Linked DNA regions of Drosophila melanogaster. The gene in region 1 interacts genetically with each later gene. Each region holds a gene or a part of one and is shown on either strand. Other genes may lie near its edges.

The links. Genes that interact genetically often act in the same process or in processes that back each other up.
Region 2: of SREBP (region 1) and out, changing one suppresses a phenotype caused by changing the other (phenotypic suppression), as found in Drosophila melanogaster (one study listed by BioGRID).
Region 3: of SREBP (region 1) and Sln, changing one suppresses a phenotype caused by changing the other (phenotypic suppression), as found in Drosophila melanogaster (one study listed by BioGRID).

The regions. Positions count from the first base shown.
Region 1 is NT_037436.4:19,791,958-19,799,517, forward strand, and holds SREBP (sterol regulatory element binding protein), read left to right. Parts: upstream 1-1,977; 5' UTR 1,978-2,202; intron 2,203-2,266; exon of another isoform or gene 2,267-2,368; intron 2,369-2,606; 5' UTR 2,607-2,742; intron 2,743-2,941; exon of another isoform or gene 2,942-2,944; 5' UTR 2,945-2,952; coding exon 2,953-4,435; intron 4,436-4,495; coding exon 4,496-5,301; intron 5,302-5,370; coding exon 5,371-5,762; intron 5,763-5,822; coding exon 5,823-5,949; intron 5,950-6,003; exon of another isoform or gene 6,004-6,102; intron 6,103-6,175; coding exon 6,176-6,343; intron 6,344-6,416; coding exon 6,417-6,782; 3' UTR 6,783-7,022; downstream 7,023-7,560. Other genes in the region: Ir76a (ionotropic receptor 76a), read left to right, coding at 7,321-7,375, 7,427-7,560.
Region 2 is NC_004354.4:19,319,099-19,323,920, reverse strand, and holds the start of out (outsiders), read left to right. Parts: upstream 1-1,814; 5' UTR 1,815-2,265; intron 2,266-4,822.
Region 3 is NT_033778.4:11,843,432-11,851,331, reverse strand, and holds the start of Sln (silnoon), read right to left. Parts: upstream 6,009-7,900; 5' UTR 5,255-6,008; coding exon 5,222-5,254; intron 2,436-5,221; coding exon 1,469-2,435; intron 1,368-1,468; coding exon 915-1,367; intron 856-914; coding exon 250-855; intron 174-249; coding exon 47-173; intron 1-46. Other genes in the region: CG43190 (uncharacterized protein), read right to left, coding at 6,416-6,607, 6,666-6,818; S2P (site-2 protease), read left to right, coding at 7,379-7,453, 7,505-7,900.

The DNA of each region.
Region 1 (7,560 bases):
GCGTTAATCTTTATTAAGCGCTGCCGCTGCTAGTGTGTGCGTGTGTATTGGTGTGTATTCCGCTGAGCTCGTGCGTGTGTGCGTTTGCGGAGTATTTACATGGGAGTTTTTCATTTTCTGCTGACAATTTCCGTTGGAAACTTTTCGCCAAGGAGGTGCTAACACTAGCAAAACTGGCAAAGTCCAAACGGAAAATGTAATTTATGCAGAAAGCCGGAGAAACAGAAGCACAGAGAGTATGAGAACAGTCAGAAGAAGAAATAGAAAAATCGGACCAAATCTACAACAACAGCTTGTTGGATGACTCAATATTGCAGTGAAATAAAGGCTCTTTTGTATCAAGGAAAATAGGAAATGATTAATACAGGAATATTTCCAAGTTGCAAGACAGTTGGTAAATAACAGAGTCATAATCACAGCGTTCGGTAATATATTTAGTTTAACATTAGGTTAAACTAATTTTAGTTATTTTATATTTAGTTTAACATTAGGTTAAACTAATTTATTGAATAAATAAAGTCTGTATATTTGGATTTGAAGCATATCCATATATTACCGAGAATAATAAAATTATGCTGCATCATACATACAATCGGATTTATAAAGATTTTGATAAGCTAAGGTGAAGTAGAAATATAAAAAATAGGATTTAGTAGTGAAATAGTCCTCTTAAGATACTTTTCCTGATGACCGTTGGTTGAATGTTTTCAGTTTAATTTAAATAATAGGCATTTGATATAAATAAGCTTCGTCTATATTGAAAACAATACACCTACACTTAAGGCAACCAAATTTGCAGTTAGTATTTCCAATTGGCGACCGTAAAGGTAAACAAAAATGTAAACTGTTGCAGACAGCAAATGCGGTAAATCGCAAAAATCGTAAATAAATCCTAAGATTGTGCCAAAATAAAACCGTTTTAAAGGTTATTCATAGTAGCAAGTGCAAGTTTGTCGGTCGAAAATGGCAACCCTGGCGAGACAGAGCGAACAAGTGTGAGCAAGAGCATCAGAGAGAGGGCAGAGGAGATCAGTTGTTGTGATAATGCAACGGGTGAAGAAAACAAATGCAAAAAGTTTCTGCGTGTGAGCGCGAAAGTGCGTGAGCGGCGGTCCAAACAAAAACAAAAGCGCGAAGCAAAAATGGTTTTCTTTTTGTTTCAGTTTATGTTCCTATTGTTGTTGGTTGGTAGGTTTTTTTGCTTTTCCAACGACGTGACAAGTGCAAAGAGCGCCAAATTGTACATTTTTATGCATGGGCCGCCAGTGCATTGTGAAACTTTTCCGACTTTGCCTTTATGGCTGTGCATTTGTTTTATCACTGCAGCACTTTTGCCATTGCGATCGTGTGGGTGCCGCTACTTTGTGTGTGTGCATTTGTGTCTGCGTTTTCGAAAGAGCAATTCAGAACGCAATTAACACTGACGGCGCCCATGCTGGTTATCAATTAAATCACATATTCACTTTGTACCATTTTACTAAAAACGAATAAAGAACCTCATCATGTTGCTCTTTCCAAACGGTTATTTCGAATTTACCGCTTCTCTGGCTCCGCGATTCGTCCGCGTTTCCCGTTTTCCGTCGCGACTACCTACCCGATTTTGAATATGTGATGTAGCAGTGTGGCCAGTGCGTTGTGCCAATTTACCGGAACTTTTTGTCTTCAACATTCCTTGGTATTTTTAAGTAATTCTAGCGCGGTCACACGGCTCTGGCGCTCTCTTAATTATTCTCTTGAATGTAGGTAGCGGTGACATCCACCACGCTCAGCGAGGACAACCGCATATTTTAAATTACACTTATACATGTTGAATTTATTTCCTTACTCTGCGTGTCAGAATCAGCGTTGATATTTTATGGCAGTTTTATAAAATACATCATAAACTATTAAATATATATATTTCTATACAGGCATTGTAAGTAATACAGCTGTTTCTTGATGCCAGGGAGTCAAGACCTGAACCAGTTCCTTAGGCCCGAACTACTGCTCGTCATCCCTGAAGAACAAAGTTTACTGCAATCGAAAGCAATTGTTTATTAAGCTGCAAATATACTCGTGAAAAAAATCAAAACAACCATGAACAACAAGTGTTGCAACTATTACTAACTAGTCGCTAGTTTAAAGCAAAGTGCGTTGACATTAACCAGTTATGGAAAAACAAAAGCACACGTGAACTAAGAAAACAGATAGAAGGTGGTAAAGGTGCGTTTCTTTTTCTGCTAATAATGTAGATAGTGTCTAATAGATTAATTTTCGCGGAAATCAGATCGGGAAACCAGTGGAGCCTGGGAAAATGCCCTGTTGGAGCTCCCAAAGGCCAAGTGGCGTCACTAAAAACATCGTATGATCCGGTCGAGCCCTCTGATTGGTTGAAAGCGCTTACGCATGCTTTCCCGGTCGCGTATGTGTGTGTGCAGTGCACAGTGGGCCAAAAGCGAAGTAAAAGCTTAGACCGTTTAAAAATATTCGCCTCTATTGCAATTTGCATTAGTCTAGCAAAACTTGATATAGCCAAAATGATCTCAAGATATTATATTTTGTTCCTATTTTAACTACGAGCAAACAACAAACAAACAAAAACAAGTTAACACATATGCCATTTTCAGGTCCGACTGTGATTCACTTTAGGTTTGAGTACAATTAAAAGATTTATTTTAACTTTGTTACGTATATTACAAATTTAATTATAAAAACCCCTTTTAATCTGTTATTAAAGCTGCAAGTGGCCACTGTGGAAAAAGGGTAATTAAATGAATTAATGTGATTATAAACATATTAATATTTGTTTTTTCCGGCACCAACATACTTGTCCCACTGTTGTTATTGCGCCGCATAGAACTTTAATAAACAATCCTCAAATGTACAAACATACATACATAAATATGCACATACGTGGGCCCGCCAGTATTTAATTACGAACCGTTTTTGTCCCTTTCATCAGCAGCATTCGCAATGGACACGACACTGATGAACTTAATAGACGCTCCGCTGGACGAGTCCATGGATTTGTTCAAAGCGGAGGATGTCTTCGAACCGTTCGACGCCGACCTGCACTCGGACATGCTGGACATCATCCTCAACGACATGGACCTGGCGCCGACGCAGATGTACAACATGCTGCTGGACGAGCCTCGAACGCATACCCAGCAGACGCAGTCCGTGGATCAGCAGCCGCAATCCGTCGAGCAACAGCCGCACGTGAAAAGCGAGCACTCTTCGCCAGTGCACATCAAGGAGGAACTGCATCAGCAGCAACAACAGTCGCCGCTTCTCGTCTACAAACCAGATCCCCTCATAGCCACAAGCTACAATTGTCCCCAGCAACAGCCGACGGGCCTTTTGAAGGCCGCCCAACCAACAGCCACCATACATCACATGGACGCCCAGCGGATGCCGCCGAACACGGCGGTGTATCCCCCATCTCTGGGCAGTAGCTTTGTCTACCAGTCCATGTCCCCGCCCACGTCGCCGGTGGAGTCTGCGAACCAGAATGTCAATGTCATGCAGCCCGTTGCTGCAACTCCTGCTCCCGCTTCTGCTCCTTTGCCCCAGCAGTCGTATCCGCAACCCTTCATTACGTACAACTCTAAGGCCGGAATGACTTCCGATGAAGCCATGTACTTCCTCTTGCAGCCCACGGTAGCCAGTCCAACCCCATCTCCACCTGTGGCTCCACCACCGACAAGCACAGGTAGTCGGGCCAGCAAGGTGCGAGTGGCACCACTGGCTCCGTCACCTGCCGCTATGGAAGTCCAGGGCAAGGTACCTATCAACCGGGTTCAACCCAAGGTGAAGGAAGTAAAGCGCTCGGCCCACAACGCCATCGAGCGGCGCTATCGCACCTCAATCAACGACAAGATTAACGAGTTGAAGAACTTGGTAGTGGGAGAGCAGGCCAAGCTGAACAAGTCCGCAGTGTTGCGGAAATCCATAGACAAGATTCGGGATCTGCAACGCCAGAATCACGATCTGAAGGCAGAGTTGCAGCGCCTGCAGAGGGAGCTAATGGCACGCGACGGCTCCAAGGTGAAGGATTTACTTCAGCTGGGCACTCGGCCTGGTAGAGCATCCAAGAAGCGCCGCGAGAGCTCGCAGACCTTTACCACGGATGCCGGACTGACGCCGCCACGCAGCGATGAATCGGATCCTTCGCTCTCGCCCATGCACTCGGACATCTCGTTGCCGCCATCACCCTATGGTGGATCCACCGCCAGCTGTAGCAGTGGCAGCAGCAGCAGCAATGAAGAACCACTGGTGGTGCCCAGCTCTATGCGCGGCATGGCCACCCACTCTCGCCTCGGACTCTGCATGTTTATGTTCGCCATCCTGGCCGTCAATCCCTTCAAGACCTTTCTCCAGCGCGGCCACTATGACAGTAATGACGATCTTGGCGACATGAGCGGTCAAAGACGCATTCTCTCTTACGACGTGGAAGGTAGCTAGCCTAGCATCCAGATGTTGTTAAATATTGCTAATGGGTTTCTCCTTGATTTAGGTGAAGGTTTTGCTGTCTGGCAGCAGAGTTCCTGGATATGGCTATTGAACTTCACACTGATGCTTGGATGCTTGGTGAAATTGCTGGTTTACGGTGATCCGCAGCTGGACGCGCAAACGGACGCCTACTGCCAGCACAGGCAGCGGGCTGACTTCTATTTTAGCCAAGGACAGTCGTCTCAGGCCTACGCCGGTTACCTCAACTGTCTGCATATGTTTGGATTAAGTCTACCGGCGTCGCGCTTGGAGTGTTACTTGCAGACCACGTGGCAGTTCCTTCGTTTTCTTTTCCATCGCCTCTGGCTGGGTCGGGTGCTGTCACGGCGGTCCGGTGGGCTGTTTAGCAACGCCGCCAGCAGGAAACAGGCGCTGGCATCTGCACGCGAACTGGCCCTGCTCTTCAACCGACTGAATCAATTGCAACTGACTGGAAATGGAAGCCGCGGTGACATGAACGGCATTATGATGGCACTATTCGCAAGCAACATGGCTGAAGTGGCGCACAATCTACTGACACCGCGCGAGACCATCTGCATCCACGTAATGACAGCGTTGCGAATGAAGCGCAGTGCCCCAAAATGGTTGCAACAGCTCTTCGCCCGATACTACATGAGCCGGGCTCGTCAAGAGTGCGGTCTCACTAGGGCCACCGAGCAAACGCAGGAGCTACGTTGGGCATTCACAGCCTATGGATATCGCTACTGCGCCACGCACGTCTTCACGTACGATCTGAGCGACTCCGGCGAGCAGGATGGATTCTTCACACGTCTTAGGAATCCATGTGATCCCGCTGCCCACGTCATTAAGGTAAGTTGGACTGAATTTCTAGTGTATCGCACACAATTCAAAACTAATTGTTTCTTTTCCAATAATCAGCAATATCGAGAGCATTTGCTGTTTAAAGCCATTCAGTGTCTGGTAGGAGCGGGCCACAAATCGGGAGGCCTGCCCACATCTTCTGTCAGCGGAGAGGCGGAACAGTTGCAGCAACAGCAGCACAGCGGCACCATTGTCAGCAATGTTCTTAAGTACACGTCCCTCCTTAAGGACACTCTCTGGGCTGATGAGGATGAGCGGGATACAAACGTGGTGTGGTGGGCCGATGTTTTGGAGACCGCAGTGCACTGGCTCCTTGGTGAAGACACGCTGGCCGAGCAATTGTACGGCAGGATCAAGCAAATGCCCACGCAGCTGCAACAGTGCGGCGAAAACGATCATCTGCCCAAGGCGCTGCATGCTGTGCTGCGAGCTAAGATGATCTTACTAAAGTGAGTAAAACTAGAACAACTAATGAAAAGAACAAAACTAATCATCGCACACCTTTGCAGAAACAATGGCAACGCACTGGACAAAAGTCTCAAGCAATTGGTAAACATCCTCTGCGATGAGTCGAGTGTGGAGCTCCAAGAGTGCTTGACTGTCAACCGGATCACCGACGCCAAGGGTATAAAGCTGGTAAGAATGTGTGCACCCCGAACAATCAGTTTTTGGCGACTGAGTGCCACCAGACTCTTCCTCTGGAGATGACACGAAGGTGCATTGTAGTCGCATTGTCTGTCCCAATTGCTTCAGGCAATACAACTTCAGTGCAAGCTCTGTGCATTTCACATACAACGCCGAATGTCTCTGGCAAAAGTCGCCAAGTTTTAAGAGCGCACTAATCATTATTTCTTCTATGCAGCTTTTCCAGTTGCTTACCTGCGATTGGCTGCTCGAAACTAGGACTGCTCTGTGGGAACTGGAACACATGAATATGGAGGACGATGGCTTCTACCAAGTGCCAGGTGAAGTGCTCGAGAAGTTCCAGACCGATTTGAACTCGTTGCGCAACATTGTGGAGAATATACCGGTATATGCAAATCCTTACCCTTCCAATATGTCTGTTCCGTAACCTGAGCTTGTGTAAACTTTTGCCATTACAGAACGCCCAATCGCGCATATATTTGTACGAGGCAGTTTGTCGCCTGATGGCTGGAGCCTCACCGTGTCCAACGCAACAGCTCTTGGACAGGAGTCTGCGATCACGCAACGCCCACTCGTCCATCTTCTGCGGCAGCAAGGATCGGCGGCAGCAGAACTTCGTGGGCGGAGAGCGGGAACGGGCTTCGGCCATGTACGTGGCCTGCAAGTATCTCCCGCCTGCGCTGCTCAGCTCCCCGGGTGAACGTGCTGGCATGTTAGCCGAGGCGGCCAAGACCCTGGAGAAGGTGGGCGACAAGCGAAAGCTCAAGGAGTGCTACCAGCTGATGAAGTCGCTGGGCAACGGCATTGGCAGCGTGAAGGCTTAGGATAGTAGTGAAGTACATAATAAGTGGCACGAACGTGGTGTGGATTTTCAGCAAATGAATACCCGTTTGCTATTCAAAAGAATTACAAATGCCTAGGTCTTTATAATTACGCTATTCCTCTGTTTTCCACGCCCGGTTATGCTTAGATTGTAATTTTAAAATTATTTAATATGGACATTTTATTTGTTTATTATTTACCGTACTTGTTAAACGTATTTATAACAATAAATATTTTAACAGATTTACAAGGCCTTTTATTGGTTACCGGTGCATGCTCCTAATTTGTTAAATATGTACATAATTCATGGAAAACGTATTAGTAGCGTATGCAATCTTTTTCCTTATATAAAATGAAATATTCTTCCATTCGCGTCGGTCATTTTGCGTCGGCGGAGTTTTGTTAGTCGGGTGCATCACAGGGTGAGCTACCAAGCACTATATATATATATACAAAAACAGAATGTATATGTATAATAATAATACACACAGAAAATAATATAAATTCCTCAGGCACACTTCAAGGGAAAAAATCTGTGAAATGGAAAACTTGCTGGTAGAGTCATATTACTTTAGCACTGTGCTTAGTTTTTTTGGTATGTTGTCCTTTTGTTCAGCATGGACAACCTTTTAAAAAATATAGTTAGCTCAGCAGTTCTTCGCGGACTCGCATGCCACTTGTATTTTTTGGCACCCGGCGTTTGATTTTCGTCTGGAAACGGTTCATCCAATGCCATTAATAATCATGGACTGGCACAGATGGGCCAATCGTTCCGATCAA
Region 2 (4,822 bases), on another chromosome or scaffold:
AAATTATTAAAAACAAAAACTAGCAATGCTATATTCCATTGGCCATCACACTTTCTCCAAGTGCAAGGTTAAGGTGACAGGGGCGATAGGTTGCCGCCGGAACAAACGACTTACTTGTGTCGTCGTATCTAAGGAGTTTTCATGTGGGGAGAACTAGTGGGAGTTGGGTGAGAGAGCGCGGGCGAGCCAGAAAGAGAGAGAGAGAGTGGGCAGAGTGCACAGTGGAGCAATGCGGTGAAACCGAAATAGAACCGTGAGTCAGATTAATTAATTCGCTGTGCACTTGGTAACTTATTGATGGGACCGCAAGGATTGACAAATGAAGGATGGCTGGCTCATTACTAATTGATAAATGATCGAAAGCTTGGATTTTCTTTTCTTTAAATTGATGGGGATTAAGGTAAATGGTTTACATAATTACTTTATTGCCGTCGTAAAAATGAGAAATAGGATATACGGAATCCTTAAAATATTACAGGAAGGGATAAAATCGTAATTGTTCTTTTTTTTTACGAGCGACCAAACGATCGTTAATTGTGGTTAACCCTAGAAAACCTCTTAGGGGTTGCTACGAGTGAGGACTCAATACTTAATCTAGCCCAACCAAATTTTGCTACACAGTTAACTTTGGTTAATCATGAGTTCATTAATGTTTTTATGTTTTAAAGGACCTAAATATGCAATAGATATCAGGTATGAATTATAAATTCATTTGCATATGTTTGTGCATACATTTTTATTTTTTTGTATTCATCAGCACCGAAGTTCAAAATTGTTCTCTGTGTATGGGTATTTGTCTACCAACCAATTAGTGGCTACTGTCTACCTGGCCTGCGACCTTTGAACTTGCTGTGTGGCCGGCAAGTGGCAACAGTTGGTCGGCCATAGAGCGGCTCTATAAAGATCTATTTTCCCCTTACTCTCTGTCTCTCTCTCTCTCTCTGTCTGTTTGTAGCTCTCTCTTTTTTCCCATAAGATGATTTCTGAACGCAGATAATTATTCTTATTCTTATTATATTTTTGTATTAATTTGAGCCAATAATTTTGCCTTTTTCCAAAATTAGTTAAGCATAATAATTTCTATTATATTTCTTATTAATTTAGAAACGTGTTCAGCTCAAAGCTAAACAAAAACATGTCAAAAGAAACGGAATTTTTGTTCAGTGCAATAAGATCTCTGAGCGGATCTATTCAACAGTCCAAGTTCTACGTCGTCATCATGATGGTGTAAACACATTTGCCAAATCACATCACAGCCCACTGTTGAGCCGGTCTTGTGAGAGTGCGATAGAGAGGGGTCGCCCAGGCCAAGACAGAGAGACAGAGAAAGAGACAGGTGGAGAGAGAGGGAAGGCTATTGCCCGGCAACTGCTAATTGGGATGGCTAAATGCTGCATTGCATCCTCTGCCGCGATTCCTGCTGCACTTACGGTGCATCGTCGTCTATCCTGGCGCTGCCCACGCACGAAGAGAGAAGTTCACACTCTTCCCGCCTTCCGCCGGCGGTACAGAGCAAAAAAAAATTTTATTAATTTCGGTTAATTACAAATTTGTACCAGGGACTTAAGCTAACGAATTTCAGAACCGAAACATTCATAAGCTTATGCTTAACAACGTAATTATATAAAATAAATAAAATTGGGAATTTGCTAGCATGCCAAGCATGTGATGTGTAATGTGATCCTTGGTCAAGAGATTTACATTCTCTCTTGCTTGCCCAATGCAAATTTCTCTCAGTGTACGGGCCAGCTCTCTCCGACCATCTCGCTCTCGTTCCGCCGTTTTGCTTTGCCAGTGACTTTGCTTTGCTTTGGCGTAGAGAATGCTATAAAGCAGACCGCAGCAGTGGAATAGCAGCAAGTCGACTGCTGGCCGCGTAACAGTAAACACACCAACGAGCGGACGTACACGGAGCGAAAGAAGAAGTTGGCTACCACGAAAGAGTTATTGTTTGTTAGAAACACCAAGCGCAGCAGCAGCAGCAGCAGTACAAATATTATTGTGTGCCGTCCGAAGAGAACAGCTGAGCCACACGCTGTTTTTTAACGCTGTTCCGTTCTGCGGCACTTGCTGTTTGTTATCCGTATCCGTCGTGTTTCGTCGTCGTATTTGAACTCTCTTTTTGTTACTGTGCATATATTTTTGAAATCTCTGTGCTGCACACAGCGCAGGGGGAAAAGTGCTAGAATTAGCAGATCATCAAGACATCTGGCTAACCTGTGATTTCCAACACACCCGAAGGCAAATTGGCAACAAGTTACCACCGTAAGTCTCGTGTCGATCAACAAGTGAAGATGTTAGTTAAGTGTGGCAAAAGAACTGAACAAGAATTTATTGCATTTGCAAATATACATATGTACTATACCGATAGGAACGCGTTTTAAGAAAGTAATCATGCTTTTAATTTACGTGATGTGTGACTGTTATTTGTGATTCAATATAAGAAGATTAAGAAGATTAATAAGATTTTGTGAAATTTTCAAACTATGCCCAAGACAAATGTAGCCCACTGTTTTGGGGGTAGGGGATTTTCAGAAGCTTTGCTTTTGAGCATAAACCGTAATTAGAAGGCATTAAAAACGTGTGATTTGGAAATTCGTGAATTAAACCTTATAGGATTTCTCTCTCTCTCTCTCTCTGTGAGAGAGTGTGAGAACCCAAATTGAGTTTAAGAATTAGCTGAAGTTTCCATAATAACCACTGGCCAAGTGATTAGTTCACATGGTGGGTGGAATCCGTCTAGTCCAAACCATAATCCCCTGCCCAGTCTGATCTGATCCCGGAACCAAATTGAGTTTTGCCAAAGGTTTCAGCATTTTTCATGTGCATTTTTTTTTCATCTAACCATCGACGGGGAGCAGAAAATGTTTACCAAATTGAATTACACATTTTTATGATGTGCTGGTGCCTTGCTCTTCCCCCTTCCTCAAAGCCACCGCCACCCCGCCGCCTGACAGGCCTCAGGTGCTGTCCTGAATCTGGAAATCCGTGTGTCCGGGTGCCGAAGCCGGAATGGAAGGAGTCCACGTTTTCGAGAGCGGGAATGCATTTATGGCGCCGCCATTAGGGTGGACCAGTAAATTAGGTTAATTGTAGAAAGTAATCGAAAGCTTTAACAGCACCAAATTGCATATTCTGAATCAAGGAGACTGTATTTTTCCCACACTGCAAGTCACATTTCAATATGTAAGTGCTGCATTGAATATGTACATGTTCAACTTATAAATGTGTATTCTATATATATATATATATAGGCACATAATCTATAATCTGTTTTGTAATCACTACTGCTTTTTGCAACTTTATGGTAAAAAATACTTTGTAAATCCTTTGGTGTGCACCAAAATGAGCATGAATGCATAAGCAAACATAAGCGCTTAATTATGAAAACATACCGATTTAACTAGAGTCCTGGATTATAATTGACCGATTATTTGATTAAAAGGCATCCGAGGCATTCAAGAGCAACCAAATATTGTTGGCCGTTGATAACCATTGCTGGTTGCCAAGGTTTCCATAGTATTTGCAATCGGCTCAGAAGTGAAATGCTCTGTCTGAAATTCCGACTTAACTCCCCACCAGATAACCTGTTGCATTTCGCAATGGGGTAAACAATGGAATCACCTGTGCGCCCCCACATTTTGGCCTTCATATGGAAGCACATTCGTGCGCATTCATCTGGAAAATTGATGGTAAATTTCGCATTTAGTTTGATTCTCAATTGAATCAACAGTTCTAAGCCTACTGCTTACGTGTTTGTGCGATGATGATGATGATGTATAATGGTCTATCCACCTTTCGCAAATTTGCAATGGACAAGGAGGCGGTGCAAAGGTCTGTACATAAGTCCAGAATCTCAAGGGGTGATAAGCCTAAAAAAAAGGCAGACTGTTATATGTCAGATACTCGTAGATAGTTAGAGGGGTTTTTCAATGAAAAACTTAGAAGTGTTATTTTGCCTTCTGACACTTCACAATGAATATTCAGAAAAAAAAAAATGGGGAATTAACAAAGCAATATGATTATGATATGATATTATATCAATAGTTTTATTTATCAACATTCAGGTGTGCACTAATTTCTTGCCGCCAAAAACAAAGCCAATCAATAATTTATGTAGATAAGCATTTTGCTTATAACCATGCATTTTCATTATTGAATTGTCATTTTTTATCTTAGTTGAACCCAACTCCGCCTCCTCCGCGTAGATCGTGTGTCAGCCACTTGTCTTGTTTGACAGCACACCCAAGTGGCATTAGCATTTGGGGACTGAAACTGGAACCATTGGCCAGTTTGCCCAAGAGAATTTCTGGGATTGGTTTTGGGTTTCTCCAGTGCACCGCAGTGCACTCCTCTCGGGCCACCACTTCAGTTCACGGAAGGCACCACTTGGTGGGAGTCGGCTTGAAGTACGTGAGTTTATTTGGCTGAGCACAAAAATCAGAGACTCGAACAACACACAAGATCGAAAACAAAAAACAAAATTAAACAAAAAATATAATAAAATAAAAGAAGTGAAGTGAAGAGCAGGGTCGAGAGGAGAGGAGGGGAGAAGTGCCTAGAAATGGTCTGAAATGTGCATTAAACGCTTTGCATAGGAAAGCGACATGGACATGGTATGGGGATTGCGCCGGAGATTGACATTCCCATTCCCATTCCCGTTCGTATTCCTATTCCATTGGGCTACCCACTCCTATTTCCATTTCCCATTCCCTAACCCAAATCCCTACTATACCATTTTCACTTCGAGAATCGCAGAGAACACACAAAACACACATGTGAGAATGTGCCGGGTGTTGGGATTATTTTGTGGCCGGGTGAG
Region 3 (7,900 bases), on another chromosome or scaffold:
AATGTGATTAGTTTGGATCGAAAAATAAACCTTATCTGGTACTCACCACAAGGTGTAGGTCTTCTTGCGATCGAATAGCTGCAGGTCGCACAGCCAGCCAAGTCCAAGGCGCCCAATTAAATCTAGGACCGCGCTGATGGCCACCAGGTATCCCGCCTCACTTTTATTGTATCCTAAAGATGAACCAAGTTTATAATATTTAAAATCGTACGCCGAAAGAATATACTTTGAACATTTTAAATAGTATACCTATTGAAATAACGTGGGCGGGCAGATAGTACAACATGTAGGGACAGCCGACGGACATCAAGGTGACGGATAGGCACATCAGGATAAAGCTCGGGTCCTGCAGCAGACTGATGTCCAGGTACATCTCGATGCGCTCGCAGCAAGTGCGTGGTCCCCGCTCTTCGTCGTCATCGTCATCCTCATCGGCGGCAAGGTGGCCGTCGCCATCGATAATGGACTCCACCAGCTGGGAGTCTAGAATGCCGAGCTCCGCCTGCTCCACCGGCTGCTGCTTGAGATCACTGAGGTTGCTAACCGGAGTGGGTATCTCCATGCTCTTGCTGAGTCCGCGACTGACCACACTCGGCGGCGAAAGAGGCTTCTCCAAGTGGGCTTGTATCTTGGATATCACCTCGTCGTTGGCAAAGACATTGCGCCGACGACGACTTCCGCGATTGGAGTCCGTGCCGGAGTGCTTGCGATAGACCCAAGTGGAGTCCGTGCTCAGATCTTCGACGGAGTGCAGCAATCCGGAACTGCGCACCTTCTTCATGGGCTTGATGAAAGTGGTCTCGCCAATAATATCCTTTACCTCGTCGTCACTCTCCTGCGCTGACTTGTCCTGGGCTAAGTAACCAAATGGGATTTATTATTTGGAGTTTTCCTCGATGAAATAATACTCCCACCTGGCTGCTTGCTGGCATAGTAGTTCAGGTGGTTCTTGGACTCCTCCAGGAACAGATGCTCGATAAACTTGTCGCTCAGCTCGTGGCCTGCACCCACATCGCAGGTGTCTAGGTAGGTGGATGTAGTCAGAATGCCCGTGGTGCTCGGATTGATGTCTTCGTTGAGGGGCTTTGCCGTCTCCTCCTGTCCCTGGCCCGAGTCCTGATCCGTGTAAGCACTGATTGGGCGGTAAAGTGTGGCCGAAACGCACACGTGAAGCATGCAACCGCCCAGGATCAGAATAGTGCCGTGGAAGCCACAGTTCTCCGCGAGGTGCTTTATCAGAACGGGTAGGATGAAGCTGCCGGCGGCAGTGCCCGAAACGCAGATTCCATTGGCCAATGCACGGTGCTTGTCAAAGTATTGGGACACTATCACTATGCCCGGAGTAGTCGAGAGGCCACCTCCAATACCTGGGCGTGAAGAAATAGTTAAATATAAACATCATGATAACTAAATAAATATAATTACTAATGTGATGAGGATAAATTTAAATTGATTATACATTATGCACCTGTGAGTACGCCAAATGTTAGGAGGAGGTGCAGCAGACTGGTGGCAAAGTAGCTCAGTATCATGCCCATGGCGCAGAAAATGCCGCCGACGAAGACCACCGTTCGGCAGGAGAATCGCTGGCAAAGAGCACTGGACAGCGGGGCCAGGACCAGACATAGAGCCGACAGGATCGCTGGAATCCAGGAGGCCACGGTGGCCGTAGAGCTGGGAAATGTCTCCATAATCTCCACATACAGCACGCCGTACGACTTGACCAGTCCGGCCACCCAGAATTGCACGGAGAAGGCCCCAAAGACGATGAACCAACCGTAACCGCCGTCCGGTGGCTCCACATTCGGACCACCGCTCTCCGTTGTGGTCGTTGAGGAGTCCCGATCCTTGACCACTTGCTTGCTACGCCTGGCGACGGTCACGCGATCCCGCTCGCGCTCCTTGGCCCGGCGGACGCACCTGCTGCGGGCCGTATTCAAACCAGATCCGGAACCTGAACCCGACTTCCGACTGCTGCGAAGCTCATGCGATTTGGCAATCAACGGTCGCGCCGTGATGCTGGACACGGTCAGCAGGTTCTCATTGTCGTCCTCCTCCAGCTCGGAGATCTGATGCTCCAGCAGGCTGGCGTGCAGGGTCCTCGGGCAGCATTGCGTGTCCAGGCTGAGGGTGGCGGGTCGTCGCATGGGCGAGGCGTTGGGTGAACAGCATCCGGAGCGGAAGGCGGCGGACTCCATGTGTTTGCCATCCATCTCGGTGGGCACAACGATGTCGGGCAGTGGAGCCGGCGGCGCTGATACCACCGAGAACAGGGAGCCGCATTCGAGGCCGACTCCGCCACCGGACCCGTCCACGCCCGCCCCTCCGCCGGAGCCCTCAGCCGTCTTCGTGTGGAGAAGGCACCCTCCCGACTCGTACTGGACTCCACCAGTTGGGTCCGGTTCACTCGCGCAGTAAACCGATCCCCGGGAACCCTGCGAAAAACATAAATAGTATTTTTGTATCGTTAAACATTAAATATGCTGGTTATCTAGTGCAATATTTAATATAAATCTATGAAAGTGTGTTTAAGATATGGAGTATGGAGTATGGAGGGATGTTTTTTTTAAATAACAATTAAATAACATAACAAGTTAACGAAGTAAGCAACCCAAGAAAATGGGCCAATTTAATTGCGAAAGTTCTTATCAAGTAGTAGACATCAAAAGTTAATGTCCCAAATTGGCGTGCATCCAAAAATTCCGCCTCCGCCGTAGCATTCAAAAATGGGTTAAACCCCGTCAGAAATCCGGGGCTGTTGACAAATCGACTGGAGGCGGGTCAAGGAAGCAACAACTTAGCCCAATTTGCATTGCTAAACGAAATGCGAGGAGCGCACGCGATCTGCCGCCTTATAGACGACATCGCTGCAACGACCTAATGTATGCAATACGTTTTGTTTAATTGAGTTAACATCCAGTTCCTTCCCGATTCCCGCTCCGCTGGGCTATGTAATTACCCGCGGACCGAGCGGATTTTCTTGTTATATGTACTTTGTTAAATCGATGCCAGGCTGCAGGTGCATGCTGTGCCTTGCGGGCTGGCATGACGTCTGGGAATTTTCCATTTGTCTGCGGGATCCGCTGCCACTTCCTCCCACGAAACCTCCATTTTCCGACGACTCAGGGTCAAGAGCGAGGTGGGTCTGGTCTGGCATGCGGTTGCCTTTCAGCACTTTTTTAGTTTCTGTCTTTGTTGCCGGAAATTGATGGGGGGTTCGATTGGCCCCAAAGGAGCAGTGGTGGGTGTTTGCTCCAATCCAAGGACGATGCAATGCTCGAACCGAAGGCTAATGCCAGGAAATATACCCGTGCTGATAAGACGCCAATCTTTGCCAAGCCCTCGTAGAAAGGACACAATTGGAAAGCAGTCAAAAACGAAATTCGGTAAGTTGATGTAAGGTATTATTGGGTTTACAGCCATGCCAACAGCTCAACTATACATACTAACTAATATATACATTTAAAACTTTATGTTATATGTGCACAGTTAATATTTTTACCTCATATTGAACTATTCCTAATTAGATTTCAACACCTGCCCCCTTAATATTTATGTGCTGTCGCAATCTTATTGTTATAACCAACAGTTCGTAATAACTCATTTCCTAATAGCTTCTTATTTCGCACTTAGTTGTCCCGCTCCCACCTATTTCTTGGTACTTCCAATGACGTACGTATACGAAATATGATACATTGCTGGCATCAAATATCAAGTATGCGACGTGTGTGCCCATTAGAAAGAAGGATTGGTGCCCAACGCTGGTTAAACCTATGCACAATATATTAGGTGAAGCGCTCTATCCTTAGTCAACCTTTTTATTTGCTTTTACTTAAGTATCCTATCTAAGCATGTCAGTTCTTAATGAGCAAATAATCAATAATTATTATAACGAATAAATATTGCATGGTAAATGTAACAAATCATAACATCACTTATGCTTAATAAAGCCAAGTAAATTTATATAATTGAATTCTAACTTTGAAAGTAAATTTAATAAATTTGTCTTTTGTTTACGTGGCATGTCATTTGTCGAACTTCGTGCCGCTTATGAACTGTCAGCCATATTGATGGTAGAAATATGCCAAATAGATGGCATGCAATATTCTTGAACGAGTGCAAAATGCAGTCACACATCTGACACGACTAATGAGCGTTGGCCAACTCTTGGCATTTGGCAACTCCCCCTCAAGAGCATGAGTCACAGCATCCTAGAGCCAGTGACCTTGTCGAATGTCAAAGGCCCACGTCGCCGTGGCATGCGATGGTATACGATATCCTGGACGCCAAGAACCCCCAAGACCACCCTCTGCTGTCAGCTGGAATCCGGCTTAAGCTGTCAGGAAGCTTTCGCTGGGGCAGCTCTGCAATCGCTGGTTGTTTTCAATTTCCCAACATTTCAAGGCCTTTGCCAGCGCTTAATGAAACGGAAGAACCTTCCCCCGGGCCAAGTTAGTTGGCGCTCGTGTGTGGGCCTGAACGATAAGCGGTCAAGGTGAAAGGGGTGGCCTCAAGTCGGCTGGTCGAGGGTGGTATCTAGTCGGGGAGGGAATCTAGTGGGGAGGACTTGACGCACAACTTGTTGAGCCACCCGTAATTGCTAGCCCTCCGTAATAATAGATATTAGGTTGCACAGGCCTAGGCCAATTAGTTCACCCAATCAGCAGGACATTGATGCTTAAGTGTAGGGATGCTGTACTCCCATATGCGAGTGTAAACACCTACTTAAATTTGGCTCAAAATTCATGTTTTAAGTGTTTACAAAATCAACGATTGTAAGTGTAAGTATAATTATAAGCATAATAAAAAGTTACTTTTCATTTGTGTCAAAACTAGTAGAAATGAACACTTCTATTCGATTTAATAGGTGTCATTAAAGGTCAACACCATGCCACGACTGAACTTTGGCTTGTGGTTTTCGGTCTTTCCATCAGCAGTCGGGGCATGTATTGTTTACTTTCTTGTCCCCGTTCTTCTAAAGCGACTAAGATGGATGCAACTTGTGACGTTGACCCATTCTCCTGTCGCTTGCAATGTTTACGTACTCGTAAAACACTCTCTGGTCCAGTGCGCATGCTCACCAGAGGAACCCAAACTCCAGCTACCTCAATACGATTGCCATTGGCCCACTCCCCAGAAAAGGCAGCGAGGAGGAATCAAGGGGGATGGTTCCTGACCTTCCCAAAGTAAGGATAATGGGATGCTGGGTAGTACTACTCACCTGTAAATGCCAGTCACGCTGTAGGGACGACATTGCCGTCCTTTACTGAACGTGAAACGCCTTTGATGTTTCTCTTGTTGCTCGCGCTGTTGTTGTTGTTGCTTGGGGCGTTGTTGTTGTGCACCCAAATGCATTGGGTTGCCTCTGCTTTGGGTCCTTAAAGTCCTGAAGAGCTGACGTTCGCGGGCCTTCACCGGTTGGCCCAAAATAAATACTCTCTTGCTACTGCTGCTTCTGCCGGAACGGCTCCTTTGGCACTGAATCCTTTGCGGGTTCGTCTTGATGGTTTGTTCTCCGAATCGATTGCGATTTTCGTTCGCTTTTTCTTGAGGGCTTCCTTGAGGAACTTGTATGGGTTTTCCTAGGGGCAATATCCTTGCTGCTCTGGCGTCATGATGCGTTGATGTGACACACAGTATTCCCTGTTACTATTGTTTATGCAGCAGCTGTTTCCGCTTCCGCTTCCTTGTCGCCCCCTTCCGTATCCGTTTTCGGCACAAGCGCACTCTCTCACTCACTCGCTGGCGAATATGCAGTTTTTGGAACAAATCGATATGGGGCGAGATTCCAGCTGAAGTCCTTTGTTCTTAGCTTACTCAATCACAATCGAACGAATTGGATCCTTCCAGTGAGTTAAATTGGTTAAAAATACGCCTGAAGCTATTGAACACTTTCTCTGATTGGGAAAACCCTTTGCAAAAGCCTTTTTATTTTTCGTGAGTACTCTTCGTTTGTTGCCCTTTTTGGCGGATGCGACTGTTCTGCTGCTGCTCAAGCTCACGACTAAACTGATGATACTCATGTCCTCTGGAGGTCCATTGAAAACCCAACTCAGTTAAGGTGAACTTGGTGGTGGTGAGTTTCGGCATGGAAAAAGGAAAAACAAGAGTAAGAGGTCCTCTCTTCCTTTCCATTGGTTTTCATCCGTTTTGTTTTGCTAGGTTCTTTTGGCCGCCTGTTGCCAGAACCACCTACTTTTATTTCTGAAAACAGCTGATGAATGAATTACGAATTGCCTTACGAATTAAAGTCACACAAATTTAACAAATGTAACTTTACAATTTCTCATGCTAGATTTTCATATACCTATAATTTTTCAATTTTAATCAAAGTAGGTGTATTCGTTGCTCTTGATTACTGCACGGCAAATTTATAATATAAATCCAAAACTAAACGAGAACACTTTGCATTGCTCTATAGAGAAGTGCGTAGTTCTTCCAGGCTTTTGGTCATGTTCAACGCCACTCCAAGAAATATAAAGCTGATGGCCACAGATGAGAAAACGGCAGCCGGTAGGTTCTTGAGTAGCCACTGCAGGATCATCGTGTAGACGGCAATGGCCATGAGCAGCATGCACATGTATGGATAGGCCAGCCATTTAATGAACTGCAAAATCACAGGATTCTTAAGAATATTTCCTCAATTAATTTTGCTTCAGGTTAACCTTCCAAACTGCAATAATCAACAGGAGCGAGGATAATGCATAGAGAGCCGATCCGGTGGTCCACACAATCTTTACCGCTTCAGAGACACCTGATAAACTGGTCATGAAAAGATAGCCGGCAGCCACGCCCGATATACAGGATACGCAGGCCATAATGGAGACGATCAGCCTGCAAGTCGGCAAAAGTCTCTTATATGAGAATTCCTGTTCGCTCATGTGTTTGATGTATTTTAAGTCACTTAACACAATGGATTTTGAATTTTTTTATATTGAAAGCAAATCATTTTCATAAAAAAATTTTAATTGTTGTTTTTGAGTTGTTCAACAGTTTTCTTTGTTTGACGTTGAATAGTTGAAAATGTTCAAAACTTTCGCGCCCAAATAAGCTTGCTTATCGGTATTATTGATAAAGCGGCCATCGATAAGTTCTGCAATCGATTGCGATTAGCTTTTGGTATTTCGATTTTTTACGCAGGTTAATTTGCGCACAAGATTCCCAGACGTGATTAATGCTGATTTCTGGTCTGGACTACACAGCATTGCTGGTATAAGGAGTCGGGACCAGAGGAGTAAGATTTCGGGAAGGAATCCCGTCCGGTAGGGACTACTAGCATTCGCAAGTGACGTCCAGCAACCGGAGGACCCCCAACTGTAGAATCCGCATCACCATCCTAATCCCAACAAACCAATGACATCTTGAGACCTCACCAGCCATGGATCCCTTCGTGTTCTTCATAGTACTGGCATCGCTTTATGGCGTTCTTTACTTTTTCGACCGCTTCTTCAAGGTGTAGTATATCCAGCCAAAGTACGTCCAGATACTTAATGTAATCCCTTAGAGTTGCATGCACTACCCGTACGATGCCTTCCTCAAGAACACCGGGCTGAGTATAAATTTCATGAGCCTCCACTGGCACACGAGTGCCTTTAACAGGACCCTCCTACGCTGGGGATCTGCCGGTAACAGCTGCACCCGGAGAGTAATGATCACCAGCTTTAATGTAGGAGTCCTGGTCACCTTTTCTCTGCTCCCGATCGGTCTGATCCTGCTCATTGCCACTATCTTCAGCAGTGGTGAACAAGACAGCTCTTCGTCTGTATCCTCGCCCGTTGGAGTCCCTGTGCAGCTGGAAATTCTACTGCCCGGCGTCAACTTGCCGTTGGAGGAGATCGGATACTACATCACAACCCTTGTGCTCTGCTTGGTGGTGCACGAGATGGGACACGCCCTGGCC